Alligator mississippiensis: one gene and its partner. The protein of the gene in region 2 interacts with the protein of the main gene of each other region in a pairwise test. Links are inferred from orthologs where the notes say so. Each region holds a gene or a part of one and is shown on either strand. Other genes may lie near its edges. The genes, in order: SOX5 and ARID5A.

Region 1 (15,978 bases), on a different chromosome or scaffold from region 2:
GGCCTGAAACTGATGTCATCAACAAGTTTGCATTGAGAACAAAAAAAAAAAACACCTCATCCTAAATTTGAGACTACATAATGCATGGGCCAGGCCTCATGCCTGTAAACTGGAGCTAATTAATTACCTTGAACTCATTAATCTTTACCACAGCAAAATGTATGCAGCATGATTCACATATACATCCTCTCTCACCCTCAAAGACATGACTGTGGTCAATGCTTGTTCCACAGAACAAGGATGGTCTTGCATCTAATGGCAGTTTACATTTGACTTATAAAAGACTCAGCTTCAGACCCACTATCTGCCATATACTAAACACACAATCTTCTTCCAGATGTGGATGAGCAACGTGGAATATTGCATCTTTCACATCAATTATCTATGATTCTTAAATACAGGAGCCTGTGTACCCTTCACAGGAAGTAAATTGTGGTTACAGGTAAGCAATATTACCTTTGTGGTTTGACTGATAAGCACTACAGTATCACCTTTGTGATACTGGTAAAATCAGTATCACCTTTGTGACTGGTAAAATCTGATCCTGATGTCCTTATCCAGGCAAAACACTTAATATGTACCCATACTTACACAAACATGCACATTATGTGTGCACATATTGGCCAGTTTCAAAAGGATCTAGTGATTTTTGCACCCTTCTTGACTTACTTTAAGATAGGTTGATTTTCAAATGTACTAAATATCGGTCATTTTAAAATTAGGAAACTGTAAGGTATATCAAACTGGGCATCAAGAAAACCAAGGCACCTGAAATCACCAACCCCATTTTAAAATTATGTCCATTATACACAGGAGACTAATATGTGGGTATATATGTTCCTGCCTCCACATATACTATTAAAGCATCAAAATCTAACACTAATGTTAGTGGGACTTTTGGTGCCAGAATTAAATTCTAATATTCAAACAAATCACCTCTGTGAATAAAACAGATTACAGATTAATTTAGACACCTGTTACATGAAAAGCATGTCAACCCAAAAATACAGAAATTAGGTCCTGCCTTAAACATCCCATTGAAATTGATTTCCACTGTTTTTGATGGGTCCTGAATTCTTCTCAGTTTACATCTGCCTCGTGAGGATTGCCTCCTGCTAGGAGGTAAGTTGCTGTATCATTAAAAATGGCATTCCCTGCTGAGAGAAACAACACTTCCATTCACTAAATAGAGACATTAAAATAGTCACAGGTATTTTAATTTTTTAAAAAGATTGTAAATTAACTTTTTAATCCATATGTTCTGATTGAATAAACACTTAGTTAGCCAAGATACTACAAATACTTCCCATAGTTTTTGATTACATCAAAAACATCAGACAAGACTACCAAAAACTGAAAACTTACTTCTACTCACATCAATTAGCAGTTTTTGTTTGATAGCAGTTAAAGATGCAGAACCCATAAACTTTGTTCCAACCTGGATCAGCTTAACTAAAGGTATGATTTTAACTGATTTACATGAACAGCTGCAAAACATAGTGTAGACACTCTTAATCTAATTTAAACCAGTCAATGGTTTATCTTAACTGAGTAAAGAAATTGAATACATAAATAAGAGGTTTAAATTAGATTTAAAGAGTGACTGTGCTGCATTTTGTAGCAGTTTAACTAAATTTGTTTTTAAAACATTTTAAAGTTAAACCGGGGTAACTCTGAACATCTGCAGGCCCCTAATTACAGCTCGACTCTGGCCCAATAACGTAAGTATTTCCCTAGTAAGGCAACCAAGTGCTCATTCTCTATTATGCTCCTTACTCTGTCAAGTTCTGAGTACCTCCCAGGAGATAATGAACATCTTCGATGGAGAGTTTAGGTGTGCAGCATCTCTTAAAAAATGCTCAGTAACTAGCAGCATCAGGTTCTCTGGTGCCAAATCTCCGGCATCTGATATCAAACCAAAACATGACAGACTCTTCCCCAGTATTGTACAATGGGTCACAAACCCCCTATATGCCAATGTATGATTCCGCACTGTGAGCTCTATGAGATTCTGGGAGGTGCTATTCTTTAAAAATAACCTTCAAAAAAGTAACCTTTGACCCATATTCCTTAGTTTGTTTCCTAATTCCTTAATCTCTGAAAATTTGGGCAAAGGAATGCTCTTTTGCTTTGCCACCAGCCTTTCCAGGATATTTTTTAAATTAAAACTACAACAAAGGAGGGGGGAAAGACTCTCTGTTAAGGGACAATTCACTAAAGGGTCTTTTAGCTGACAATTGCCAGCACTGTCGGGGCCAGTGGATAAAATTTAACTCTGCAAAGTGCTGATGACTATGTGACTCATTCACAGTAGGAGATGGTGCTCAGGGCCACTCAAGTTCGATTTCTGGTGTTGCCACTGGGTTTAGGAACAGTAACTTTAGCAAGCAAAGATTCTGTAGGTATTTGATGTACTGGGCAAAATAGCATTCTTACAATCACCTGCCTCCCAAGTGGATGGAAAGCCAGCAGGAGATCAGTAGGAAAAGAAAGTAATTGTCCTTTGTGCCTCTGAAAATGGCCAATACTAATAGATCCCATTGTGGATTACCTGAGTCTTATTTCATGTTTGTGATCCACAGAAAGAGAGAGACAGGTTGGATTTGACAGAAAATAAAGCTGTCAAAAATATTAGACAAGACCCTCTTTGGACACTAAGGAGGCATATGCTCTCCACAACTAAAAAGCAAAGTATGTGCAGACTATGCATGTTGCTTATAAACACACACTGTACATATATATGCCTTACCCTTAAAGAGGCATGAGGCATACAAGGGCAAAATACTACAAGAATGAGTTAATCTTACATGTTTCTAAGGTGCCTCTCAATGTAGCAAGTGACTTATGGGACTTCAGCTCCTTTAGCAGCCTGTGCATAAGTGCAAAAACATACTCCTCTTCTCTAAGCAAGCTGCATTCTCACCCTCTATAGAAAATGCCAATGAAAGGAAATAAAAAACATCATAAAGATTTTCCCAGACCAGATCATTAAGTCTGAGTCCTGAGGTCTCTCTTCCATTCTGAAATTCAAGAGGGGAGACAGGTTTGGATTCAAATTTCTTGATCTTAGAACTTGGTCTATTAACTAATATGAAAGAAACTTTTCTGGAACTGGTACAGACCCAAAAGAGGTAGAAGTCTCCAACAACTTGCAATATTTCAGTACCGTGAATCTGAATTAACCTTTGGTTCAACCTTGAACCAAACCCTTGTGTAAACCTATATGGATCTGAAAATTACCACATACAACAATCTCTAATGTCTTCGAGAGAGAAAGAAAAAAGTGGAAGGAAATAAAACCAAAATTACAAAAGGAGAGTTTATAGTATATTAAACAAAACCTACACATTGTAAAAGGTCACTCCAACAGCCTGAGGCCCAGTTATATAGTACTTTTGCAGGCATGGCTCCCATTGCCATCAGTGGGAGTATTTCCTGGCCCGTTCAATGAACACCAAATTGTTTGTATGTAGAAGAGAGGAAAACATACTTCACTGCTAATGAGAAAAGAATTCTTATAATAATACTAATCTATTTATAATGGTCAAAGAATATCATGGCTTCCACCAACATCACTGCAGTGTTTTGGCAATATTGTAGCATTCTGCTGTATTTTTTGGAAGGATCACTCATTACTTTCTCTTGAATCTTAGAACATGTTTCACAATGCTGTTTTTCAATTTATCCATAAATCTACATCACAGGATTTTATATAGGTATGAGCACTACGGCAGAGGCAAAGCTCCTCTTACACATACTGCATTAGGATACTGCCAGCACCACCAACCCACACTTATTGGTGCTTTGTTTCTTTCATACTTTCCATACTAGTATTTAAAGTTACTTGTAAACTTATTTCAGGCCTAATTGTAGAACTTTAGGATAACTATCTGGGAAGAACTGTTTCCCAATCCTGAACATTAAGAAATTATCAATATGAGCTAAATCTCTGGCAGCTTAACAATGCTGATCAGCCTAAACGAGCGGGGCAAGTCATACAAAATACGAAGATGCAGTAATATAGGATAATATATAGGATAATATATATATATATATATATAGGATAATATAGGATAATATAGGATAATATGCTGGTTAGGCACCAGCATATTATCCTAAATGTATGCATCTCAGACATATGCCTTACCATTTCAGTGTTTACTAGTAAACATCTAAAGAATTACTGAGTGATTCTTGCCTGCTACTACAAGATCATGACAGCAGAACAAGTATGGCCTAGGAAAACTTCTGTAAACAGAAGCATAACATTATATAGGGAATATGTATATGCTTATATTTGCTTTCCAAAGGCATGTATTAGCTTCCAACATTTATAAAAACTTATGCTAGACTAAACTGAATGCATCTGCACATACATGTAGTTGAATGGAGTTAATTTGAAATAGCCAATCCATCTCAAATGTCAGTTTGTTTACAAGAGATGTTTGTGGCTTTCAAGTTCTGTGTCGCACACAGTGTAGCGCTCAACCAAGTGAGTTTAAATGCAACAACAAAAAATCTCTGATATAAGATTTCCATGCATAATAGCCAGGTTTTCATTGTCAAATTATGTAGTAATATACATGCTATCCATTGAACAAAATGATGCCAGCCTTTCCCTTTTATGAGCACAGAAGAACTTTACAAAACAAACATTGTGGCTGTAACCTTGCTGGATCTCAAAACACAAAACTTTACCCCTTCAATCCTAGTTCCATATTTGTAAACAGCACAGTTTACAGGAAGAAGGATCTACCTTTGAGGCAATGATATTTTCTACCACTGGGAAGGATTAAGGAGCTACAGAAATCATGACAGATACAGTATCCTTCATCAAGCAAGTTTCTGGGGCTACAATACTTGGCTATCACTTGCTGTACAAAGCCCAAGAAATGCCCCTGGCTCAGAAGAATCTGATTTTTAAACCTCAGCTGCTGACTTTAGCTAAGTAGTGGGCTGCGAGCCGAGTTTAACACAGGAGGAAGAACCAGGCCGCTGTGTTCTGTTGCTCTGCACCTGGAATAAGGTGTCTTCCCTGGATGTGAATAAAGCAAAAAACTGAACATATTCCTTGAAAGCAAGGGGGAGGCATCCTTCTAAAAATCCATCCCCAAATTTTCAAAAGCGTCTAAGGCTAACATTTGGTTTGCCTAACATCAGAAACAACCTAGGACCTCCAATCTGCTTGGCATCTAGCTCCTCAGTGGTTGCCCCCCCCCCCCGCTTGCCTAAAATCCTGCTCAAGCCCCTTTCTTCTTTTCTGCTGATGGATGTGCTGACCGCCTGCATGCCTCCCACATGCCTCAGTTGCCTTGGGCTGCTGGTGGGGGTTAAACCAAAAAAGCAAAGCATAGCACAGCCAGGCTGAGGGCCCTTATTTCTAAGTACTAAGGAAGCAGGTCCCTCGTAGGGGAGGATTCCCACACTTCTTACCCGCGGGTGACTATTGGCGCTCTCCCCGGGGGCTGCTCATCACCTCCCCCTCTAGAGTCAAGTCCCTTAACTTTCCGGCCATCAGTGCCTGGACCAGGCAGAGTCGGGCTGGGGGAGGGCTCCGCGCACTGATTGGTAGAGGGGCTGGTTTCTTCCCCCCCCCCTTCCCTTCTCTTCCCTTCCGCACCTCTTGTCTCCGGGGCCCGCAGCCCAGCCCAACCCAGCCCAGCCCAGCTCGGGGACCGGCTCTGCTCCTCGCCCTGCAGCGCGCCGCTGGGACGGATCCGAGGGGGGGATCGGGGCCGGGGGAAAAGGCGGGACAAGTTGCTCCAAACTTTGCCAGCCCCCCGCAGCCGCCCGGGGCCCCCGGCCCTGCCCCCGAAGTTGGCCCGGAGCCGGCCGCGCACCTACCCGCCGTGCGGAGCGTGTCCTGGCCCGAGAGGGAGGCGGGAGGATGCTCGGGGCTGGGCAGAGGGGGCGCGGGCTGCCGCTCGGCCCCTTCTCCCGCTCTGCGTGCGCGCCTGTGCCTCAAGGACGAGGTGAAATCCCTGCGCTGGTCATGAGGCGGCTTCAGAGACAAACACCACAATGCGAGTGCAAATAACAAAAGGCAAAAAAAACCCCACAGAAAGAGAGGGAGAGACAGTGGGAACAATGGGGGAGGAGAAGCTTTTCTGTGCAGTCTCCAGCCACCTCCGACACCCTGGGAGCGGGGAGCTCGCACTTCAGCTCCCTTCTGATCTCTCCTAAACAAACCCTGACCTCCTTCCCGGAGCCCCCCTCGCGCCGCCCCGCCTCGCCCGCCCCGCTGCGAGCCGGCTCTGCCCATTGCGGGCGGCCGCGCTGGGCCGGGCGGACAAGCCAGTGCCGGGCTGCGGCTCTACCCCCCGCGCGCCCCGCAACTTCGCGCCGCACCGCACCGCACTGCGCGCCACGGGCGGCCGAGTCCCGGGACGGCCCGGCCCCCGCCTTTCCTCGCTGCGAGCAAACAGCCGGGAGTTGGGGGGTGCTGTTGCTGCGGGGTGTTGGTGGTGTGTGTATGTTGTTGATGCGGGGGGGAGTGCTGGGGGTGGTGGGGTGTGTGCTGGTGGACCGTGTGTGTTGTTGCTGGGGGTGGAGGGGGTGTGTGTGTTGCATGTGTACGTGCTGGTGTGAGTGCTGGTGCATGTGTTGGGGGTGTGTGCTGGGGTGTGTGTGTGTTGGTTGTTGCTGGGGGTGCTGGTGGTGTGTGCGCGTATTGGCCGTGGTTCTAGTAGTGTTCGGGGGGGGGGGGGTGTCCACAGGAGCCCCTGGCCAGGCGAGCCCCTGTCAGCGCGCTGGAAAGGCGCACGGCGCGAGGAGTGACCCCCAGGACAGGAGAGCACGGCCGCCTCCTGCTTCTGGGGAGCCTTCAGCTTCCCTTCTTAATCTTCCTTATCCCTGGGCTGGAGACTTTCCTGATCCCGACTTCTCCCCCCCCCCCCTTATTTTTTGGAAGCTGCTAGTAAGTGAAGTAGTCTGAGCTTCTTTTATTGTTCTTTCGCCTCCCCACTCTCACAAGCAGGGGAGAAACCAGTGCAATAGGCGCCGGCGGGAAAGGGGGGAGGGGGGGGAATGAATCGGAGCTGAAACAGCCACGCACTCTTTAAGAAGGTGGCGGTTTTAAAAGCATCTGAGAGTCACCGTGGGGCTCATCCACGCTAATAGGTTTGCTCCAGGGAGAGAAAGAGCCCATCGGCTTCCCTCGGCACACAGAGAAGTCCTGCCCAAAAGTTACATCAGCAGGCGGGAGCCCTTCGGCAATGCAGGGTGATGAAAGTGTGCCCAGACTTGGAGCACAGCGCAACCCACGAGCAGGTCCCAGCAATCTCCTCTACGCTGACTTTCATGTACTGGAAACAGCAGCGGATTTGTTTTTCTTCCACCCAGAGCAGGCTAAAACACACACACTCCACCCAAACAAAGGGAACAATCTTTACCTGTCACCTCTCCCCCCAAACTCTCTCTCTCTCTCTCTCACACGCACACACCCCCAAGCAAAAGGGACAATCTTTACGTGCCATCTCTCCCCCCAAACGCACACTCTCTCCCTCCGTCTCACACACACCCTCCACGCAAGCAAAGGGGACAATCTCTACCTGTCACCTTACTTCCCAAACTCTCTCACAAACGCGCACGCAAAGGGGGACAATCTCAACCTGTCACCTATGCCCCCAAAGTCTCTCTCATCCCGCCCTCCCGAGGAAAGGAGAGAATCTCCTCCTGTCACTTCTCCCCCAAAACACTCTCTCTCTCTCTCTCACACACACACACACACCCCTGTGCCTGTCCGCTCTCCAGGGGCCCGGCCGGGCGCCTGTGCGGTGACGGTGGCGGGCCGGGGGGGTGGGGCACCCTCTGATCCCTAGCTCTCCTAGTCTCTCCCCCCCTGTGAATGCCCTCCCCCCACCCCCTTCTTTCTGTCATCTTTCTTCAGAAGCGCCTCAGTTGAGCGCAGCCATGTCTCCAGGCACCCCCAGCCTTTCCCAGAGTGCAACACCACGACCCCGAGATCAATGACCACATACTGTTTACTCTTAATCCCAGCAGGACTACAATTGAGGCTGGCGGCTGGCTCGGCGGCGGGGCGTGCGCTTGCTGCGCGTGTGGATGATTTCCCCCGCTCCGCTCTCCCTTTCGGGCTGGGCTAAGCCCCACTTCGCAGACAAGCCGACTTCTGGCCGCCCGCGCACGCCACTCCCGATGCATTCACGGGGCGGGGGGGAGACAGAGAGAGACATCTTCAGATCTACACCCTGGAGCTGCGGGAGGGGAAAAGAGGCGATCCGCGTCCTTTTTTATTACTCAAGTAGGTCGGCTCTGTGCAAGCAGAGCTGGGGGGTTGTGGCTTGCTCTTGTGTTTACTTGCAAGGGGCTTTTGTTTTTAATTGATTAGTGAGCACGTGCTTTTATAAACTGCCTGAGCAGGCCAGCTTCGAGTGTCACTTGATTTGTGACAGCCAGTGGGAAATGCAGAACTCCCCCCCGCCCCCAGCCAAATCGTTCAAAGAAGAGTAACTTCGGTTATTATTAATCTCGGCTACAGAAGGCTTATCTCCTACCAATATTTGATACCGGGACGAGTCCAGTAATTTCCCTGCTTTCTCAGGGACTTAACAAGTCAGCCTTTACAATTCATGAGCATCGCAATCATTTTTTTCTGCTTGGATGCCTGATTGTATATGATCTCTTTCTGTGTGCGCATCCCTAAATGATTTTTACTCTTTGATGCAAAAGGACAGAAAGCATTAGCAGCATGGATAATACCCATAAATGAGACTTCAAACTCTCGGGGGTGGGGAAACAGAAGGGAAAAAAACAACAAAACAGCCAGAGACAGAGCTTTCTCACTCTTTTTACTTGCATTCTCCATACCTGTAAGGTAGGAAGTCCCAGTAGGAAGTGTGCACAGGTGGGGGAAGGACATGGACAGAAGACCTGATTCACCATTGTCCTGCTTTTGCTGCAACAATTTACACCATTACAAAGTAGGAGTATAATGGTACCCATTACTAAATGGTTGTATTTTAGTCCCACTGTGCAATTCTATAAAATAACTACATACAGCATAGGGCAGTGCCGGACTGAACCTAGACACACAATGCTGCTCAACTCCCTTTTCTGTAATCAAAGCCATAAATGATGGGCCTTAGGTCAGGCCTCTTCCGGTTACTCTGACTGAATGTTCTTTAGACTGCTCAGCCCTTTCAGCCGCCTTTTAGCCTCACATGATGGAACCTATTTTCCCTATAAGCACCTCAGCTCCTTGCTTGGTGATGACACTGGGTGGGCCCATTCAACGGAGCAGCATTTGAATGCAAGAAAGGAAATTCAGTGATTATTGTCAGGGGCAGGATTTAAAGAAAAAGCCAAAGAAGGGTCTCAATGCATTTTATTTAGAATCCAAAAAACAACAGGTGTAAAGATTGCATTACGCTCTCTAGGATGTGTTTTTTTCCACTTCTGCAGTAGTATGAAGACGTTCAGTGGAAAAAATTGAGTTACAAAAAGCCCCATTGGCCTGATGCCAGCTGCATTTGATCCTATCTTTATTAATGTGGTAATTTTGTCTCACAGGCCTCCATGCCTCTAGTTTTACAAACTAGTGATGTCATCATGAACACCAACTGCCTCATCTTTTTTTGTGTAGGAAGTCTCATTTTACTTTTTTGTTAAAACAAGTTACCATTTTTTTGCTGGGTGCTTTCAAATGTTTAGTCAGTCAAATTATTTTCAGTAGAACCTAAAAGATGTGTCCTGATTTCCATCTCCTCCCAAATGTTTATAAGTGTACATAACATTAGCAGATACACTGGAGTACTAGGTAGCATAGATACAGCTGGGAGAGAGGATAACATTCCTCCCCCAGACAACAAGATAAGTGTCAAATATGATTTTCATTGTGCCTTACCTACTGAAGGGTAGAAAACAGCAGACCAAAAATTATACCATTTGTTCCAAGTGCTGTTTTTGCAAAACTTGGATGGACTTTAGTTTTCAAAACCCAAAGAAGAATTGGTTTTAATAAGGTTTCAGTTTTATCTGAGCTGCCAAACACCAGGGTATTTGGATAAAAGATTTCAAACAATCACTACCATAAGCTTTTTTTTATTATTATTTTTTGGTTTGGTGAAGTTGGTTAGAAATGTACATCCAATTTCATTCAAACTCTCAGTACTTCGAGGGTGGCGGGAAAACAATTTGGGTAAATCCCCATGCCTGCACGGCATCCAGTGATTTCAGCAGTCATAGTTCATGTCACATTGCAGAATTGGGGCCCATGAGCCAAGCTTGCATGCTAGGCTATGCAAACAAATTAACTATCAGATTCCTTTTTGTTTTATCCCTCTAAAAACACAAGACTTTTCTACTGGCACGGATCTAGTACTGTCATTTACACGGCTAAAAAGTAGGTATTAATGTGATTCTGATATAGTAATGTTTTCTATACACCTTAGACCAATGTAAATGGCTACAAAATCAGGTCCAAATACTTTAACATTTTCAGCATGCTTGTGTAACAATGGACCATTATGATGATCTTACAATCAAAGTGAAAGCAAGAAGCAGCCAGAGAATTAATATACCTCCATATTAGTGTGAGAGTGTATCAGCCCTCACTGCTGTAAGAGCTATCAGGTTAATAGAATAATCCCACCTGCTCCCAGACTATTACTTTATCATTCTTGATTTTACGTAGTAAGTATTTACTCACGTCTCCATCATAACATCATCGTGTCATCTGCCTTGATTCCTGTGAGGGGAAAAAAAACCCTAAAATATTTCAAATGAAACAATCTGCATTCATGCAGAACTGGTACCCTTCCCCCACAAGTTTGATACAGAATCCCAGATATAATATTTCGACTAGACTTCTGAGCACTTTTTTCAATAAAACCACAATAAAGATTCTGATTAATTAAATGGCACAATTGTTTTGTCCATTATATAGGACCCCTTGTTTATTCATGCAGCTTTTCCTTAGATACTTGTCTTCAGACTAAATATCCATGAGATAAAATGAGTTACAGTAGAAAAACTATAAGGGAGACTTCACTTAGTTGAGATACCACATTTAGGCTCTTTTAAATAAAGAAAAATGTGTTGTGTTTGGGGTTGGGAGGTGGGGGAAAAAACTAAAGAAACAGCTATGTTAATTCAAAAACCAAAATGGGGAAAAATATTTTTACCTTTGGGCTTCTGAGATTTGGGTAGTTTAAACTGTTCCCTTAAAACAAATTAAGCTAACTAGAAATAAAAGTGAAGCTGTTTACTCTTAGTTGTTCTAAGTAGTTAGAAGCTCAATTTTATATTTTCTTTCACTTTAAATAATAGTCATGTTAGTCTGAAGTCAAGCAGAAGGCAGGACCCGGTGGCATCTTAAGGGCTAAACTGAGTTAGTTTTTAAGGTGTAACCCTCCTCTGCTTTCTCTTTTAATAACATAGGCCCATAGTAAGGCTCTGAAAACACTTGTGAATACTAGTACCATAAGTAACCTTTTGGTTTCAGGGAAATTACTCACACATGTAAAATTAAAGATGTGTATAACTGAAGTGGACACACACAGATGGAAGAAAAGTACAGGGATAGATTTCCTCAAAAGGCCGTAACTGTATTAATACTATGCCCTCACTCCATTTTTCATGTACAGGTCCAGCACAGAAGTTGCAGGGTTCCCATCTTAAAACCCATAATTTGGCACAGACCCTCCTCAACTTTGTCTGAGATCTCAGCTCATTTTTTAATCCTCCTAAGCAAGAAGGGGGCAGAGGCTAAGGAAGGGGGAACCTCAGTCTGCAGTCTCCCCGCTTCCCTTAGGCACAAAATTTACCAGAACTGTTCTCTCTAAAAGCTGACTCTTTAACCCTTTTTCAACACTGGACATCTACAATAAGCTGTAAAGTAAAATTCTAATTAACTCCCAAGTACTAGCTTTCCAAATCCTATTTTTAGCCTAAGTGTATCTCCATGATGCAGCTGCATCCTAAGAACAGAGTTCCTAATTCCCAGTGTATTTACATGGAGGCAAAGTAAGGTATAAGTGGACAAATAGGCCCCCGGAGCCTTAAGAAAGTCTAATAAATGGATGGGGGTGGAACGAGAGCATAGAACTAACTACATCTCACTTTCCCCTGGCTAGGCAACAAGGCTAAGTACAGACAGTCAAAAAGCCAGAGGCTGAATTGATGCAATCTTTGTAGGTTAATCTAAACTGCATAGATTGAACTGAAAAGCAAGTGAACAGACAGACATTCGCGTCCGATTCTGAAAATGCAGCCACATTCTGGCTGAGGCCAGAAGCTGGGGGGTACTACTGGGCACCTGCCAGCCACTGCCAAAGGGAAAGGAGGAAAGAAGCCCTCCAAGCAGAGTGGCCATGGGCAGGCCCCAGCCTGGGACCAGCATGCTAAGGTCAGGGGGACGGGGACATTAAACCCCACTCCCTGGCCCACATGGACCCTAGCCTGGGTCTGTCTGGGGTGGGGGGTTGCCAGGGTTATCCCCCACTCCTGGCCCAGACCACCATGCTGAAAGGAGGGGGGGGGGGCGTTAAATCCCATTCCTGGCCCACAGGGGACACTACATGGAGTCTGCCTGGTGGGGGGGCAGCCCCAGTGAGGCTTTTGCCCCGCCCTGAGCAGGGAGTGAGGTTGGAGGGGGCGTGGGACAGAGGCTTGGCTCATGGGATGGGGGTGGCTCCCACCACTGCCTGCACTCCTGGAGTGCAGGGGGGGTTCCCCCGATCTGTGCAGCGCAGCGCAGGGCGGGCTGCAGCTATGGGGTGGAACCAGAGCCAGCACTGCGTAGGGCTTTTCTTGCCAGGGGCTGGGCTTGGAGTGGACTCCAGCAGCACTGGGAGGAGGCTGCAGCCACCCCAGATTTTGCCGCAGCTCCACTCTCAGTCTCGCACCACCACCCGGAGCAGCCCTGGCTTTTCCTGGCACATGGGTGGAGGTAGAGTGTTCAGATGGGGCTACAGCGGGAGGTGGTGTGGGGTTGGGAGTGGAGCTGAGGCAAATTTTGGGGTGGCTGCAGTCTCTTCCCAGTGCCACTGGAGCCCGCTCTGAGCCCAGTCCCCAGCAAGAAAAACCTTGCGCAGCACCGGCTTCGGCTCCACCTTGCAGCTGCAGACTGCCCTGTGCCACGCGGATGTATCGGCTGATACCAATCCGATGTCCAATACAGCTGCCTCCGATTCCTGATACAGCATCCCCTCCCACGCTCCCAGGGTGCAAGCAGTGGCGGAAGCGGCCTCCACCCCATGTCTCACGCACCCCTGTCCCCCTGGGCAATGCCTGGCCCCTCCCTCATCACGGGGGGCATTGATCTGCCCCCACACAACCCTTCTCTCCTGCCTCTCCTTCCGACTTACCAGCTGGAGGCAGATCTCCATGCTGCTGGCTCTGCTCCGTGCTGCGCTGCAGCTGTGCTCAGCACAGGCATTTATTGGCCAAATTATCAGCCCCATAGGGCCGTTATGCAATATAGACAATTTTCTTCATGGTACCCATCTGATATTGGACCAATGTATCAGTGCACCTTTAGTTTGTACCCTTTCCCAGTCCACACGGGACCCCAGCCAGGGTCTGATGGGGGCAGCCCCTGCCAGGCTTTTGCCCACCCAACTCAAACAGACAGTGGGGCGCCTGGTCACTCTGGCCTGGGGCCAGCATGCTGAGGCAAGGAAAGTGGGGTTTAAACCCCCTTTTAGGCTCACACAGGACCTCAGCCCCAGTCTGCCACAGGGGGAGAGAAGCCCCTGCCACGCTTCTATCTCCTGCTCCCAGCTTGGTGGGGGGCAGTCCCTGCCAGGGTTTTGCCCTCCCCTCAAGTGGAGGGCATGGCCATGCCATGGTCAGGGGCTCACAGGATGAGGTGGGGAGGGAGGGGGTATAAACCCCCTCCCTGACTGCAGAGGACTTCAGCAGGGGGGCAGAAGCATTGCAGAGGCTGCCCCCCCCCAGAGCAAACCCTGGCTGGCGTCTGGAACCAAGGAGCAGGGTTTAAACCCCCTGCCCCCCCACCACCCACAAGGGACACAAGCCAAAGTCTGCCTGGCAGGGGTGAAGTAGCTTGTGCCTGGCCTTTCCCCTGTTCCCCATTCGAGCACAGGGGCAGGAGGTATGGCCAAATGCTGGCCAGGCTGGCATGCTGAGGCGGAGGAGGGGGGAGGGGGTTTAAACCCCGCTTCCCTCTCCTCCCCTCCACCCCAGCCTATTGACTTGGCTGGTGTCTAGCCATGCCCCTCCATCCCTGATTGAGCAGAGCCAAAGTCTATGAGGGGCTGCTCCGCCCTCACCAGGCAGACCCTGGGTGGGGTTCATAGCCAGGTTTCCCACCCCACCCTCTTCTCAGCCAGCTGAAGCAGCGATACTGCTCAGGCTAGGGAGCAGAGGGGTGAGGCCAGCCCTGCTCTGCTGGAGCAGACAGCACAGCCCAGGGCTGCAAAGCAGCCTGGGATGCTGGGATACTGTGGGTTAACTTGAACCAGGAAGGGGTACGGGACAGAAGTTCCATGAACTGGTTTGACCTAAATCAGTTAAATCTGATGCTACACCAACCAGGTTTATCTTAAACTGGTTTTGGCCATTTTGAAAGTGTTTTAAATGCACTCAACTTCTGTTCCATTACAGGTTTAAATTAGTTTCTGATAACTTAATCTGGTTTATATGTAATTTCTGTCCCTGGCCCAAAAGGCAGAGTGCCTATGAAAAAAAAGGAGCCCAGCTCTGCTTTTTTAGGCATGCTGTTTGTCTCTCACCTTTTTCAGTTGCCTATCCCAATAGTCTCATCCACACCATTACCCACCTGGTCAGGCTGGGCAAGGGAAAGAGAAGACTTTATCAGATCATGACTTAGGTGAGCAGTGGACCAATTCACTTCAAGTAAGGAATACACTCTGTGGTTTTAAAAGCGGCTGGTGATTTGGAGTGTCTTGAGTGCTCAACTTGCAATACATTAAAAGGTTGGGTTTCCAGAAAACAAATGCCCATCACTTCTGAAAAACAGGTGCTTTTTTAAGTTGTCTCATACTGGCCAGTAAAAAATGGAGATGCACCAAATCACTAATGACTTCTGAAATGCAGCTTACACCTGTGAGTAAGTATTAACAGGACTGAGTGCTTAAAGAGTTACCAGTAACAGGAGGTATAGGAATTTGTATATGCTGATTGATTATGATTAGTATCTCCATGGTGCCTCTTTAAACAGAAGAGAGAAAAAGAAGGGTCTTGTAAATGACTGAAAATGAGACTTCTCCTCATTACTGGAACAGTCTCTCTTTCTGATTATAAATCTACCTTTGTACTAAAGGACTGAAGTTTCACTATGAAGATGCAATAATATGTAAGTTAGATTGAAAAAAAAAACCCTAGAAAATTTACGACTGATTTTTTTTTAAATTAACATAGCTGTAAGCATGTAAACATACAGTATCTAAGCCTTATGCAATGCAGGGAACATGAACAAAACATTAATTAAAGAAGCAAATAGATCACCTGCATAGCCAAAGATAACATGCATCACAGCTAACTTTGCTCTCTTGACCTCTGATCTCAGTTTTAAAATGATAGCATATACAGTTTGGGGTAATGCATCTTTCCTTGTAAAGCCACTTTCTTTCAGTCTCATCTTACAGCAAGTAACAAAAGTTCTAATGTCACTAAATTACTGTCATGAACACAAAGAGGAAAGTAGGTTTACATGCCGTGAGTATGTGGTTTTTATTTGTAACAGGGCAGTCCTTGATGCATTTCACCAATTTAAAACTGAGAGTGGAGTTTCTTCTAGAAAGCAATTGCTGGGTTATGAAATAATACTGTAAACTCAGCCTACCAGCAGCACCTAGACTTTTGGGGAAAGGACTGGCTTTATGATTGTCAATAGCTCTGTTTTGATTATTAGATTTTATTTTGCCCTTTTCTAAATAATTGCATTCTGCTATTTGTAAGGTACCATATAGTAACTGCAATATAAGAACCCTTGCCAATATAATCAGGGCCAAATGCCAAAAAAATAAGGTAAAA
Region 2 (15,816 bases):
GGGCCTCGGCTTTGCTCACCTGAGCCAGCAGCTTCTTCTTGGCCAGGGGGGACATGATGGGGTGGTTGCCTTTGAAATAGAAGCTGGAGAAGAGACGCTGGTATGCCTCCGAGCAGCCAAGGGCCTCACAGTGGCCATGGCAGTTGGTGGGGGGCTGGGCCACCTCACTGGGATCCCGGGGCTGGTTCTGCTCCAGCACCACCTCCCTGCCAGGCTGGGGAGTGGAGGCAGCATCCAGCTTTGTCTTCTCCAGCGGAATCTACAACCAGAGGGATTGGGGCATGGGTGAGATGCGGCCCCTGGGCCCACCGCTCTCCCACCCTAGGCTCGCGGCCAGCTGTTCCTTCTCCCTGCTGCCCCTGGTGTTCTCCTGGCACCCCGATCCCAAGGCTCCATGCATGGGGTGGTCCTGGAGGGGACCCTGGGGATGAGCCCGCGTCAGCTTCTCCCCCCCCAACCATTGCACCTGCTGCCGGCTCTTCTCCTTCTTGGTCCGCGGCTCCTTGGAGACCTTGTACTGTTTCCGGGGCTTGGTGGGGGGCAGTGGCTTGTCATCCTCGCCCTTCAGGTGCCGCACATATGGGAGAACCAGCCTGTCAGGAAAGAAGCACATGCCATCAGGAGGCTGCAGCCGTGGCCAGCACTGGGCCTGGTCCTGCCAGCCAGAGCAGCAGCTGCAACGAAGCCAGGCAACCGGCGCACAACAGCGGCCCATGGCCCTGTGGTCACTCCAGAGGTGGCACTAGATCCTGGTGAGTGCAGCCAGTGGTCCCATCATGGGGTCTGAGGGTGTCACACACTTCCCTGCCAGGCCAGCGTATCAGCCCTCATTGCACCCTTGGGGAAACTGAGGCACAGAGATTCAATGGATGGAGAACAAACAGGGAGACTGGCAGGGCCTAGAGCTGAGACCTGGGGTCCCCCAGGCCATGAGCAAGGGAGTAGATGGGTGAGGTGGCACGTGGGGCAGTAGGGGTTCATACCTCTCATAGTGGCGCCGGGTGCAGGTGGCTGCGCTGGTGCTGCCAGGACTCCCGCCCAGCTCATCATAGACGTTCTTCCAGAGCCGCCTGCCTGTGACCTGTGGTGGGAGGGAGGTGAGGGCCCCAGGATGTGCCCAGCGCCTTCCTCATGTGCCCCTGCCCTAGGGCATGGCTGGACGAGCAGAGCCCTGATCTGGAGGGCGATGACAGCTCAGGAGACCTGCAGCTGGAGCATTGCCAAGTTCTGACTTGCTCTCCCACCCATCCCCAGGGGCCAAAATCAGCTGGGATCTGGCTCCAAGCTTTGGTCCCCATGGCCCCAGCCCAGCTCAGCAAGCCAGGAGAGCCCAGAAGCTCCCCTTGCCTTGCCCCATGGCTGGAGCTCTGCTGCCCCCTATGCCAGGGCCAGAATAAGCAGTCACCAGCTGGGCACAAGGCCCAGAGGATGTGATCCCGGCCCCTCCCCTCCGCTCACCAGCTCGTAGGCACCCAGCTTCTCCACGGCCTTGTAGATCTTCCACAGGTTAACTGGACAGACACACGGACGGGAGCAGAGTGAGGGCAGGGCCCAGGGGAACCATCCTCGTGCCCTAGCCAGAGTACTGCCCCCCCTCAACCTGCTCAGGTGGGCCTGGGGGACCTCAGCCATGCTGGGGGGTTGCAGTGACCACAGGACCCAGCCGCAGCCCTCCCTGGGGTGCTGCCACATCAGGGCCCTGCCCAGGCCAGCCTGGCACAGGCAAGGTGCCACACAGACCTGTGGCTGTCAGTAAAGAAGTCTGGCAGATTTGGGACCAGCAAAGGATTCTGGAAGGCCCCGAGAGGTGCCAGGGGACATACTCTGCTTAAAGCCGAGGTGGGGGATCCTTTCAATGGGCGTGCGACGTTCCTTCATGAATTTGTAGAGGCCAACGAGGAAGGCCTGCTCCTCCTCCTTCTCACCGCTCAAGGCTGCGTCCTCGCCCAGCTCCCCTGCGGGGTCCCTCTGCTCCCCCTCAGAGCCACTGGCCTGCAGAAAGAGACAGCCCCACGCTCAGCCACAGGGGCCGGGAGCTGCCAAAGCCGGAGCGACCTCGGCCCTGGTCCTGGCAGAGCCAAGGGGAACCCAGGAGTCCAAGCCCCAAATCCCCCGTTGCTCTGACCACAAGAGCCTGCCCTACTCCTAAAGCAGCCAGAGAAAGAGAGAACCCAGGAGTCCAGGCTCCGAGTTCCCCATTGCCCTGACAGCAAGAGCGGCCAGAGACAGAGCCCAGGAGTCTGGGCCCCAACCGGCGAGAGCCTGTTGGAAGACCCTGAAGTCCCAGGTGGCAGCCCAGACTCCCAGGGCAAGACATGTCCCATGGCTCCTCAGAAGTCAATACTGCCTTTGCCGTCCTACCTCATCACCAGAGCCCACCCCCATGCCTCTGGGGCCTTTTCCCCTCTCCCAGCCCCATGGCCCACAGCACCCAACCGGCTCTAGCAGAAACAGCATGGCTCCTCCCACCCGGGCAGGTGGCCAAGTTGGTCAGAGCGGAGCACGAACGGGGAACTGTTTCCAGGAAAACAGAATGACCGAGATTCTCGCTCCCTCTCTGCTCCCCCAGCCTCACGCCGGGCTGAAAACACCGCTCCGTGTTTGCTCTGTGCTTTCCGGAGTTAGAAAACTCGCTGCTATTTTAGGGCAAAGCAGCTGCTTGGCTCCGGAGACCCCTTTCTTTGCTTTTTTTTCTCTTCTTCCGCCACTTCTTCTGTGTCTCTTCGCCGCAGGCGGAGACAGACCCAGCCTCTGAGGATGGGGGGAGGTTTGTTTTTTTAAGCCCCAGCAGAGTTGAGATCAGGCAGGGGAAGGGGGGAGAGGGGGCAGAGCTGCTGGGCACATCTCCAGCTTGCTATCCCATTCCTCCCCAAGCCTGCCAGGACCTTGGCAGAGTCCCTGCCCACGTATGCCTGCCCCAGTAGGGCATGGAGAGGGTCTCTTGCCTGGCAGAAGTTGGACTGAGACCCAACAAACTCATCTTGCCCACTGCAGGCCTGGCTTTGCTGGATATCTTTGGCCCTGCCCAGCCACCCCTGCTGTCTCTCATGCCCCATGGGGTGGAGGCAGCTTGAGTTCAGCACTGAGATGCTCTGGCCCCTGGCCTTGAAGGGGAGAAATCTCCCCTCTACCCTGCAACTAACTGGTCAGGGATGACCAGTGCCCCCCTCAGGCCCTATGTGTTTCCTGATGCTAGGAGACAACATGCCAGGAAGACCCCATGGGTCTGGTTCTGAAGGTAAGGATGCCTCTCATAACAGCTCCAGGGCATCCAACCAATTAGATGTCCACAGTGGTGGCACCTCCATGCCAGGCCACGGCCCTATGGAAGGTGCCGGCCGGGGGCTTAGGGTCCAGCCACTGACAGAGGCTCTGGGGAGCTCCCAGCCTCAAGGCAAGACCTGACATGCATCCCAGAACCCATGTACTTTAATGCTGTGATGGGCAGCACCACCCTGGCTGTGCTGTGGTCCAGGGCACCATGGGATGCTCTGTCATGGCTGTGACCCCCCCACACACACTTATGCACGTGAGAGAGAGACTGGCACACTCATTCAGCTGCCACATAGGCAGCAGCCTCCAACAATGGAACTAGAAGCCAGGAAGAGCTGTGGGGGCCTTGTGTGTAGCCAGCAGTCCCCTTTTGGGGTTACCAACACTGGATGTCAGGGTGTAGGGCTGGGTTTCCACACTGTGGGTCATGCCCAGCTGTAAGCCCCAGCCTGGCCTGGAACCCACTGCTCCATGGAGCTCCTCCAACTCTCCCCTGCCTCAATGCCAGGGAGAGGGCACAGGGGGCCAGGGAACAAACACCCACCTGCCCCTGCCCCCATGCTCGCCCTGGGACACATAACTTGTGCTGCTGCCCCTCAGTCCAGAAGGAACAGGACCAACCCTGGCCTGACCCAGTCATGGATGCTGGCGACAAGCAGCCAAGACTGAGGCCAGTAGGAGCCTGCTTGGAGTGGTTCAAGTGCTGTGCATGCAGGCTGGACTAGCCCCAAGCCCTCATGCCGGCTCGCGGGGGCAGCTGAAGACATGGCTCCCCACAACTTCTTCATCTCCCGGCACTCGAGCGCATCCCAGGACCCTCAGAAGGGGATGTGGTGCCCCATCTCACTCACCGCCTGGGGTGTGGGGTCAGTGGGACCTGGGTTCTCTTCAGCATCCAGTGCAGCAGCATCAGCAGCACCTGGCTGAGACACACTCTCCTCCTCCATGGCAGGCGGCACCTTCTTCTGGTGTTTCCCTTTGGGACTAGGGGCTGTGGGGAGGAAGAGGAGACAGGCCACTGAGGAGGGAGCCTGGCAGATGCCTGTCCCCAGTGCAAGGGCAGTTCAGGCCACCCAGCCAGCTGGCAGGGGGTGGGGAGCAGAGAGGGCTCATGCTGGGCTTTCCAAGAATGAGGCTACGTAGCCAACACGTTTCCTGCATTTATCAACAGCACCCTGCACTTTCACTTTCAGGGCGGCTTCCTGGAATTGGGGGAGAGCTGCGCATGTCCCCCCTGCTGCCTCAGCAGCCCCGGCATGGCCAAGGCAGATGCCTCTAGCAGCTGGAGCTGGCCAAGACCCCTCATCCCAACCCCGGCTGACAGTCCCCTAGTTGTACCCCCCCTTGGCCACGGAGCCTCCCAGCTTTGCCTCAGGCCTGCTGTGGGGACCCTGGTGCCACACTGTGACAATGCCAAGATGTTGTCCAGCACCCCCAAGACCCTGCCCCCCTGAGGAGACCCTGCATAGCCCCCTGGCATGGGGGTGGGGAGCACCACGACGCTGATGCCCCACGGGACCCTCACTTGGCTCACATCCCACCAGTGCCGAGACCTCCATCCCTCACACATGGGCCCTGGGGCACCACCATCTCCCCCCCCCCCCGTGCAGACTCAGCCCCCTCCCGGCTTGGAGCCGCAGAGAACGGGCCTCTTGCCAGCCCCCAGGACGTCCTGTTCCCGGCCCTGCCCCGCCCACGGCAGATGGGACATCTCTGCCATCCTTCCCAGCAAGCACTGGGTAGAGGGGAGATCCCAGGCTCCAGCCCTTGCCTCCCAGATCTCAGCACATCAGGGGGGCACAGGGGGATCCAGACAAGTGCCAGATGGGGTGATGCCCCTCTGCCCCGTGTTCCACGTTGGCTTATTAGCAGCAGTCCCCAGCACCGGTCTGGTGATGGAGCTAACAGCCATGGAAAACGGACCTCCTAGAGGCAGGCAGGCAGCGAAAGGGAGTCTGATGTTTCTGCGGCTCAGGCCCGTACCTGAGGGGGGCAAGACAGCCTCAGCCACCAAACCCATGGTGAGCACTTGCCCACAACTGCTCCCACTCTGTGGAGTGGGGGAAACTGAGGCACGGGGAGCTAAGCCACAGCTGAGCTGGGAGAGATGGGACCGATGGCAAGCACCAAGGTGCTGCCAAGTCCTGTGGGGAACCCAGGTATCCTGGACACGCACATGCTTATGCCTGCCCGCGCCCCGGGGATGCAGGCGCTCCCAGCCCAGCTCGTGTGAGTGGGGAGACAAGCAGCCCCCCGGGCCCTGGCACACGCCCAGCGCGGGCGGTACCGGCCGTGACGCCGATTCCGGGAAGCTCCATGCCCCGCCGCCCCATAATGTGCCTCCGCTGGGCACGGCCCCTTCTCCCCGCCAGCCTCCCCGGAGCCCCGGCGAGGGGACGGGGTGCAAGTCCTGCCAGCCCTATCTATGGTGCCCCCTGGCACCGGGACGGAGCTTCCCCACCTCCGGGACGCAGCTGGGGGGCTCCCCCCGCCAGGACTCCACAAGGGGGCCAGGGCGGCGCCCCCCGCCTCCTGCACACAGGGAAACTGAGGCAGGCCCGGCAGCGGAGGGAGACGGGCAGCCCACGCCATGCGCCCGGGAAGCCCCGGCTTCGGCGACACGCCCCCGGGAGGTGCAACTTGGTGCCCGCGTGTACAGCGTCCCGCGCATGCAAGCCCCAGCGTGCAAAGAGCGGGGGCGCACTGCCCTACGTGGGCAATGTCCCGCGTGCGAAGCCCCGCGCGACGCTCACCCCAGCCCCGCGACGCCCGCTCCATCGAGCGCTCCCGAGCCCGACTGAGCTCCGCGCCCGGCCGCCGCGCTGCCCCGCCGGCCCCGGCCGCCCATTGGCCACACGCGCTGCCCGTCTCCGCAGGGCCCCGCCTCCCCGACCCGGGGCACCCTGGGAGTTGTAGTCCCACCTTCGCCCCCTGCTGGAGGGGCACGGCGATCCACGGCCCTGGTCCCTCACCCGGGATCCGGTGGGCGAGTGTCCGCCCCCGGCCAAGCAGGGTCCCAGTCTTCTCCAGTCCCCGCCAGTCAGCCTCCACTCTTCACTTTCACTCATTTCTTGATGCTGGCAAAATCCTACAGCAGTAGTTTTCAACCTTTTTCCATTTGCGGACCTCTTTGGGAATTTCAAACAGAGGCACAGACCCATTTGAATTGTAAGGGTGGATATTCACATACTCTTGATTGATTGCGGTCATCTTTTGCAGGCCCCTTAGCCACAGCCTGCAGCCCCACAGGGCTCCACAGACCACAGGTTGAAAACCACTGTCCTAGAGCCATTCTTCTATGGCAAAGACCTCAGCACGACACCAGTAGGGTAGGAGGGTTGGGACACTGTGGATGAGAAATCACAGTATTTTTCTTGTGAATTGTGTAGGCGTTTGCACACCTGACAGTTCCCCTTCCAGGAGTCTCCCGGGTCCTCCAGCTGAGAATCACTGCTATGGACTTTTCAGGCTCGCTGCTGCTGCCACGGCTGTCAACATCCTGGCTGCTGCTCCCCCTGGACACTCTCGGCTTCCCAAGTCCTTTTTGAGGCCCAGCCAGGGCTCCCAAAGACATCGCGGCTGGCTGCTTCTGACCGGCTCTAGCAGCAGCTTTCTCTAACAGCCTTGTTTCAATTCCCCTTTCTGCTATTTCCGGGCCCTTCTTACGGAGCCAACTGACAGCATTGGAGCCTGTAAATAAATCTGGTTTTTCTCTCCAGCTTCCGCTCCCATGGCAAAAGGGCTTTATTTCAATTAAGACTCATGACTTACTCTCAAAACTGACCGGACAGGTGCAGATGGAGTCTCTTAGCTCAGTAGCAAGTCCAGTGCTGCTAATAAACCTGACACTCTCAATTCGCATCCATAACGGCCGTACCAACAGAGAGAAGGAGTTTGCAAGTTGGTCATTCATGCCATTGCAGCTACATTGAAACTCTGTCTTAACAGCAGCCCAGCAAAGCCTCTGGGTGGACAGAAGGTGCATTGAACTGTAGGGGCGGTGGAGCCGTTGGGGCAGTGGTTTCATGCCTCCTGTATGGCAGTAAAACCCTTGCACCCATGTGGTTACAGCAGTGGGACCAGGTCCATGTTGCTGGAACTACTGTGCCCCCATGGTTCTGCCTCCTGTGGTGTCTCTGCTCAGAAGAGCTGCAGGCGCTGGGACACCGATACCAGCCAGGCTTCCACATGGCCTTAACACGCTGACACTGGTGATTCTCACCTGGGGTTGCCATGATTCCTTTAAAGGGTGCTAACACTGTATACCATTCACAAGAGAAACCCAGAGATTTCCAATAGGAATCAAGTATCCAAGCCCTGTTGGCACCTTGCTGAGGTCTTTGCCAAAGAATCACTCCAGGATTGTTCTGTCATCAAGGAACAAGCAAAAGCAAATATCTGGCATTGTCCAAGCAGAGTCTGCAGTCTAACAAGGTGGGATGTTAGGTCTAACGAGGGGTGTCTTGACTCCTGTCAAAGTTGTGAACCACCAGTTTAAGCAGTCCGTAGGCTCTGTTGTCCAGAAAGTGACTCATAAGAACATAAGAATTGCCATTTACCACCCCTCGCTCTTGTCTATCCATCTATCCACCCTATCCAGTTATCTATTCACCCCATACTCTACCTGTCCATGTATCCACCCCACAGTCTGCTTATGCATCTATCTATCCACCCCACACTCTATCTATCTAATTTATCTATCCACTTCACTCTCTCTCATTAGTCTCTCCTCATATGGAAGCTCCTCCATGCTGCAAAATCCTTGTTGCACTCTGTGCCTTCTCTAGTTCTTCTGTCTCCTTTTGGAAGTGTAGGGACCAGAATTGGGTGCAGTATTCAAGGTGTGGCTGCCCCAGGGATTTATAAAGGGGCATCGGGATACTTTTGTGCCCTCAAACCCTGCCACACACTTACGTGCCCTAGTGAGGAGCCTGGAGAAGGACCCCCAGGGGAGCAGGGTGGGAGGGCTAGGGAGAGGCAGCAGCAGCAGGGTGAGAGAGGGTAGTGTAGGGGCTTTATTGCCCCTTCCAGCTGCAATTTCACTGACTCCAGCTTCAGAGCAGTGTCACTATCATTGCCAAAATCTTTGCTGCAAGGCAGCATGATTTCCTCTCTTTTGGGTTGTGAAGGAAGGGGCTGAAGGAAGAGGGAGAATGGCTCTGAGCACAAGAGAAGGGAGAGGCATGTGAACAAGCTGAGAAGCCCACAGTTGGTTTTTACAACTTCCTCCTCTGTGTTCAAGTCTCCTTTCTGAAGAACTGTCCCCAGAATCCCCTGACGGGACTGATAGGAGAGCAGCAGAGCGAGACCTGAGAGCCGGTGGTAACAAAAGAGACAGAGGTGGAGGGGGAAGCAGGGATGTCCAGGGAGGTGAATGCCCATTGGGGTCGATGGAGAGTGTGGCTGCTACTCAGCAGTGATGGCAGCCTGCATCAGAGGTAGCCAGGCGTGGAACTGTCAGAGCATTGTGGGTTTCAGATTGACCACGCGGGGTTAGCCATGGGCATCTGTGGAAGGCAAGGCAACAGTTCCTCCATCACATGCCAGGCCAACACTGCTCAGCTCCCATGGACTTCAGGAGGAGAAGGGGTTGGGACACCACAAGGCAGGGCCCTCTCCATGGGGCTGAGGTCCGGATAGAGTGGGTACAAAGGCCTGTGGTTTCCAGTCACCCATAGAGTCACAGAGAAGTAGGGCTGGAAGAGACCTGCAGAGGTCACCTCTGGTCCTAACCCTGCCTGAGGTGGGATCAGCCCTGTCCAAACCATCCCAGACACATCCATCATCTAAACTCAACAAAAGTCTACTGGTAACTCTGACACAACACCAGACAACACACCTGAATCGGCCACAGGGAAAGAGGGGGGCTGCAGCACCCAACGTCCTAGTGCTGTACAGGTTGTTAATAAATACTTGAGGGGTCCCAGGCAGAGGCTGTGCCCCCACTACAGAGAAAGGCAAACCCTCCCTGCCCCCCAGTCCATACCAGTCTTATCAGGGAGTAAAATTTCTTCCCGACCCCAATGCAGCATCAGACTCACCCTGAGCGGAAGGTCAAGACCTGCTAGCCAGGGCCCTCCGGCTTTAGCCCCAGCTGGAGCACTGGCACAGCCCTGTCACCATTTCCAGCCTGGGCTGCAGTGAACACCCAATACCTCTGAGGGAGGGTTGAAAACCCCTTGAGACATATAGCAAAAAGGCAGGAAAGGAGCAACCAGCAAAGCCCAGAAGCCTGGGAAATGCCCATAGCAAAGCACAGGTGTCACTATGCCTACATCATCCTTGACCAGTGGCTGTCCAGCCTCTCTCTGAATTCTCCAGTGATGGAGAGGCTGCAGCTCCTCTAGGCATCCATCCTACTGCCTCGCTGCTCTGATAGAGAAGTATTTCCTGATGCTCAAAAGGGCTTTCTCTCTTCTTCACAGCAGCCCATCAAGTCTTTGAAGTTGCCCAGGCCAATGCAGCTCCATAAACAAGACTGTTTGGCCTCTCCCTAGCCCTGTGTGCTACAATTCCATGAGACACCAGCCCCAACTGGCCCACAGCTGGGCAAAGATAGGCCCCGTGAGCACCACCGGAGCCCTCAGTACCTGATACACAACAGCAAACTGTTGTCTGTGGCTTCTGTGAACTCAGGGGCTGGGCAGGGCTCCCTTCCTGGTGACAGGGAAGGGTGCTGGGGGCAGCCTGCTGCTGCAAAGTTAAGTCCTTCTGGCCCTCTCCCCACAGCTTGTTGGAAACTATTCAAAATCTCCAGTGGATATGGTAGGGGCTTTGTAGTATATTCGGCTGTGGGACAGCCCATGTTCATGGTGACTCTTCTGGACTTAGCACCTACAGTATAGTATCAGGGGGCTGGCCTCTTTATTCCCTCCAGCCCAGTGTTTCTAGGTAGCCATGCAAATGAGATGTGGGTTTGAACTGAATGGCTTCACTTTGACTAGCCAAGGCAGCGAACTAAGAGCAGTGTTGTCAGAGGACTTCCAGGCACAGCTCTTGGCAGACTGGGCTCAAAGTTTCCCCCAAAACACCCCATATTTTTAGACATACCATCTGCCTACCCAGCCATCCTTTCCCACATGCCACATCCATCCATCCATCCATCCATCCATCCATCCATCCATCCATCCATCCATCCATCCACCACTGGGAAACGCAGAAAGGAGATAAAAAATACATATTTCCACAGAATCATAACAGTCACCACATGGGCTCCCTGCAGTTGAATGCTCTGGCTGAGTCAAAAGCTGCTGCCAATTTGGCAGGGCCATGACAGGGTTGACCCTCTCTCTGTGATGTTGAAGAGTGGGGCTCTGCCCTTCCTCCAGGCAGCCAGGGAGGATGAAGAGCCCCAGGAGCCATGGAAATCAGCTCCCCTGCTTACAACATGCACCCCAATTCAGGAGGGCTCCCGTCCTTGGGGAAGTGTGTGTGGCCCCTACTTCTGCCCTCCTGGCCTGGGTCCCTGAAACACCCTGGAAAGCAGGTGGCTGAGGGATGGTTTCCCTCCCAAGCCCCATGTTATGAGAGCAGAGGGAGGTCATGGAACAGCCATCCATACACCCTTCCCCATATATCACTTCCCTCCATCAAACCATGCTTTCACCCATCCAATCACAAGAAGATCCAGCTGTCCAGTCACAGAGTCATCCAGTCATTCACCTACCCACCCACACATCCATCCCTCCCTCCCTTCCTCCACTCTCCCCATATACCACATTCATCCACCAGCCATTCTTCTCCATACACCATGTCCACCCATCCCCAGGACAGACACATCCATTAATCCATACTTCCATCCACTCATTCACAAGAAGATCCAGTCACAGAGGCACGCATCCATCCACCCACCTCTCGTGCCAATGCAAGCCGCAGGCATCACAAGAAAGTTTAACTTTTTGTTTGCTCCAGAAAAATTCTAGAGCAATTCTTCTGTGGCAAAGACCTCTGGAAGCCCACAGTGGGGCAGGAGGGTTGGGACAGGCTGTGTTCCTATTGGAAATCTCTTGTGATTGTGATGGATTGCTTCATAGTGCTAGCATTGCCCCATGACAGCCTTGAAAGGATCTCAAGTTACCCCAGGGTGCTGCACCACCCCAGTTAAGAATTGCTAGTCTAGGTACTTGCGTCATATTATGGGATGCAGGATAACTTTTGCAGCTGATGTGCAAAAGGCATCTGCACCCTTCTCCCCTCTTAGGTCTCTCCCCTTCATCTTTCCAATGCAGTCAGGTTCTGGGCTCTCAAAAAGAAGCTGCTGCCTTTTCAGCTCCTTCAATGCAAATAGCCTACGTTTCCCAGAATGCAGCAGGCCCAGGAGGGGCGGGAAGAGCTTTTGAAAAACACAAGAGTGTAATTTCTCGTTAGGGGGGAACAAAAAAAAAAGAAAGAAGAAGAATCAAAGCCTGGAGCGTCATGTCTAGGAATAGACCGGGCGTGGGGCCAAGGTATGACAGCGGATGAGTAATCCACTTAAATCATTGCTCTAAACACCATTCCTTGTAAGAGAATTAAAATATCAGCTTACATCACTGAGCCCAGCGCACGGGATGTGAGAGAGCGCTACGCTGCGGCTGCCAATGCGGGAGATTTTGAGGGCTCTGGGACACAGAGTCCAGAGCAAAAACAACGGCCTGCTCCCGAGCGCAGGCAGAGAAAGCTACGGCACAGACAGGACCAGGACTTTTTCACTATAGTCATAGAGTTGTAGAGAAATTAAGCTGAAGAGAAATTGCAGAGCTGAAGAGAAGTTGTAGAGAAATTAAGTGGCCTGTGGAGGTCACATCTAGTCCAGGCTCCTGCCTGAGACAGGATCAGCCCTGTCCAAACCATCTTGGACAAACCTATTGTCTAACTAACAAAACTGCTGTCAGCCCTGACACAAGACATCTCCCTGAACCTGCCACAGGGAAAGCAGGGGGACTGTGGCGCCCAACATCCTGCTGCTGTAAAGGTAGTTAACAGGCACTCCAGGGATCCCAGGTAGAAGCTGTGCCCTGGCTACAGAGGAAGGCAACTCCTACCCCCAGTCTGTACCAAACTGAGCTGGAGGTAAAATTCCCTCCTGAGCCCATGCAGTGTCAGTCTAGGCCTGAGCAGAGGGACAAGACCCTCTAGCCAGGACCCTCCACAGCCAAGTCGCCAGCCCAGGCACAGCCCAGTCGCCATCCCCAGCCTGGGCTGCAGCCAACACCCAAGGCTTCAAGAGGAAGGGGAAAAAAACCCCTGACACATAGCAGGAAGGGGGCTTCGGTGTGGAATTCCCTCTCAGCCCCTTGTGGCAATTAGCAAAACCTGGGAAATCCCCATAGCAGAGCACAGGCAAAGCTATGCCTCTATCATCCCTGACTGATGGCTGTCCAACCTCCTCTTGATCCCCTCTAGTGATGGAGAGTGCAGACTCCCCGGGCATCTATTCCTCTGCCTCTGTTCTACCAGAGTAGATTTCCCTGAGATCCAGCAGAAACCTGCTTGGCTGCTACTTCGCTGGCCCTGCTGGAGACCAGCCCTGGGATTTATACCTTATTTACTCACTGATCACACACCTCTTGTCCCTGCAATTTAGCAAGCCAAGAAGAGGGGGCAACAAGTCTGATTCTAGACAGTTAAGCAAAGAGCGAGAATCTTCTTCCTTCCCCCATTGTTCTGCCTTACCCAAAACATAGTGGATCTTGTATTTGGGCATGTGGTATGAAAATAAATACAGTTATAGATGAGGGCAAAGAGTGTGAGACTGGCTGTGATAGCTCTTTTCAGGGCTACACCTCAAAGCAGCGTGCTACGGACAAGGGGTGTTGCCCCCAGCTTAGGGGATGGGGAAACTGAGTCAGAGAGAGGGGAAGTCACGGGCAGTGCAGTTGGGGCACCTGCTTCTTCACTGGTGTGGAGATGTACCTGGAAATTAGACATGTCCTGCCCAGACTTGCTCAGAAAGCAAGCATAGGGCCAAAGGGGCTACCATGAGCTGGGCTTGAACCAGCAAAGCCCAGAGCTTAAAGCCCTGCCAGTCCAGTCCCAAAGCTGAGCCATATGTGTGCTGGGGACACAGAAAAGACCCCCGACACGTCAGCCATGACTGCTGCCAGCCCCAACACCCCAGTGCCCATGCATAGGAAACCCCCTGCCACCTGGGTGCAACCTCGCAGCTAGAAAGCTGAGGCTGCCGGAGTGCCCATGCCTGCCTTACACATAATGAGCACCCGTAGACAATGGAGGGGGCAAGGGGGTATGACAACCATCTTCAAACCCTCAAAGAGTGACAACAGAGAGGATGGAGATAGGCTTTTCCCAGACTAGGAGCAATGGCAGGGAAACTGAGGCTGGAGATAAGGAGGAACTTTCTGATCATGATGGGGGTCCAGCAAAGGAACAAGCTTCCTAGAGGGGAGGGGAATTTCCATCCTTGGATGTTTCCAAGAGCAGATTGGATCCAGATTGGCTGGGGTGGTTTAGTCAGGGCTGATCCTGCCCTGCTCACGGGTGTGGATGAGAGGTGACTTCCTGAGGTCCCTTCCAGTCCCCAACTTCCCTCTGATCATATAATCCTAGGCTTATGGATTTGCTTGCTTGGAGACCAGCAGGGCCTTGAGTCAGACCTCAGGAAGGGTCCTCTGCACCCAGACCCTTGTCCATCCTCCCTCCCAACTCCACTGCCTAAAGAGATCACCAGCAAACACCCTCGTTTCTCTCCCACTGCCTGGTCCATCAAGGCCTATAGTGCTCCCGAGATACCAGGGACTCTTCCACTTGTCCCACATGCCAACCACCCACTGGAGAGCACTTGTGGAAGGATTCTGCCTAGTGCTCATAGCCATCGGCTTTACTGGGCAGCTGAGAACATGGCGTGAACTGGCGCAGGTGCTGGAGACCTCCGCTTCCAGCTCTGCCATACCAGGGGCCAATGGGGGTCTCGCAACGCTGTGAAGAGCAAGACCAATGAAGCCAGGGTATAAGGAAAGGGGGTGGACAGGGCTGGACACCAGGGTCGGTTCAAGGGTAATTGGCCCCCTAGGTGAACTGTGTACCTCGTTGCCCCCACCACTTCCAATATAGGGGAAAATAAGAAGTCTAGAATGAACTTTTACAGGAGTTCTAGCTGTGATGGTGGTCAATTTTACTGATCTTTCCTCTGAGATCTTTTCAGAGGTCTTTCTCCTCTTACTGAACCAAAGGTTTTAGACCAAGGTGGAGCTGTAGCTGACCAGGGCTGTTATGTAGAATAACGTTCCTGTTATTTTGTTCTGTATATAATTTTGACGCCCTAGGTGACCACCTACTTCACCTAATGGTTGAACCAGTCCTGCCAGACACTGGCTCCGAGGAGCTTGGGGGGGACACTGTCTCACACTGACTGCCACCTACCCCTCTCACCACTGCCCCCCACTACCACATCCCCCACAAACCCCCTGTGCCCGAAAGTCCCACTGCAGTCACCAGGGCTCAGAGAGGCACAGCCAAGCACCAGGGGTGAGAGACACAGCTGTTTCAGCCACCAGCAAGAGGCCATGTCCCAGCTACCTCATCCTGTCCACCCACCTGCCTGACTGGCACTTACCATGCTAGCAGCAAGCACTCAGCTCCGACAGCCCCAGCCCCACATCATCTCCTGGCGCGCAGAAAGGGCTCTGTGGTTGCTAGCACTACACATGGGGCACAGTGCTCACAGGGCCTGAGTCATCTCCGGAGTGCCTGCCCCCCCCCAGGCCTGAGGGTACATGTATGTGTGTGTGTGTGTGTGTGTGTATGTGCGCACATGTGTGATTAACTCTTTCGTTATGGGAACTGCCTGGGCTTTTTGGGGCTGTTGTAACGGCAGCTTGCTGAATGAGTGTGCTGGACTTCCCCACTGCCACGGGAGGGCGCAGGGGGGGTGCGCTTGTGTGTGTGTGACTACGCCAGAGGGCTGTGACAGAGGCCTGAGTTGTGTGTGTGAGGCGAGGGGCAGAGGGGGATGCCTGGAGGTGTGCACTTGTGTGTGTTTCTGCAGGTGTGCACGCGGGATATCAGGGGACGTGTACATCAGATGCCTCTGTGTATGTGCATGTTGGATGCCTGGGAGCAGATGTGCATATGTCTGGATGCCTGGGTGGGGGAGTGTTTCTGTGTCCCAGATGCCTGAGTTCTGTGTGTGTGTTCACACGCATGTGTCCTGGACACCTGGGTTCTGTGTGTGTGCATGCGCATGTGTGTGTGAACCTGCATGTGTGACTTGAATTCATGGGTTCTCTGTGTGTATGCATGTGCATGTGTGTGTCCTGGATGCCCAAGTTTGCTGTGTGTGTGTGCACACGCATGTGTGTCCTGGACACCTGGGTTCCATGTGTGCACATGTGCATGTGTCCTGGACGCCTGGGTTCCATGTGTGCACACTCTGTTCATATGCACGTGTATCCTGGGCACCTAGGTTCCCTGGCTGTGTGCCTGAGTGTATGCAGATATATCCCAGACATCTGGGGAGGAGTGTAGGGGGGTGCGTACGTAGAGCAGTCACAGTGGATGGAGAGTGCACTGGGATGGATGGGCAGAGAGATAAACAGTATGAGG

The links.
Region 1: the proteins of ARID5A (region 2) and SOX5 interact in a two-hybrid assay, tested with the Homo sapiens proteins (2 studies listed by BioGRID and IntAct). The two-hybrid records come from large-scale screens. The link is inferred for Alligator mississippiensis from reciprocal best matches to the Homo sapiens genes ARID5A and SOX5.

The regions. Positions count from the first base shown.
Region 1 is NC_081827.1:124,850,939-124,866,916, reverse strand, and holds the start of SOX5 (transcription factor SOX-5), read right to left. Parts: upstream 6,183-15,978; 5' UTR 5,845-6,182; intron 960-5,844; exon of another isoform or gene 1-959.
Region 2 is NC_081830.1:10,574,034-10,589,849, forward strand, and holds the start of ARID5A (AT-rich interactive domain-containing protein 5A), read right to left. Parts: upstream 6,123-15,816; 5' UTR 6,052-6,122; coding exon 6,027-6,051; intron 5,969-6,026; exon of another isoform or gene 5,735-5,968; intron 4,265-5,734; coding exon 4,125-4,264; intron 1,993-4,124; coding exon 1,824-1,992; intron 1,512-1,823; coding exon 1,459-1,511; intron 1,082-1,458; coding exon 984-1,081; intron 594-983; coding exon 467-593; intron 260-466; coding exon 1-259. UniProt on the Homo sapiens protein: DNA-binding protein that may regulate transcription and act as a repressor by binding to AT-rich stretches in the promoter region of target genes.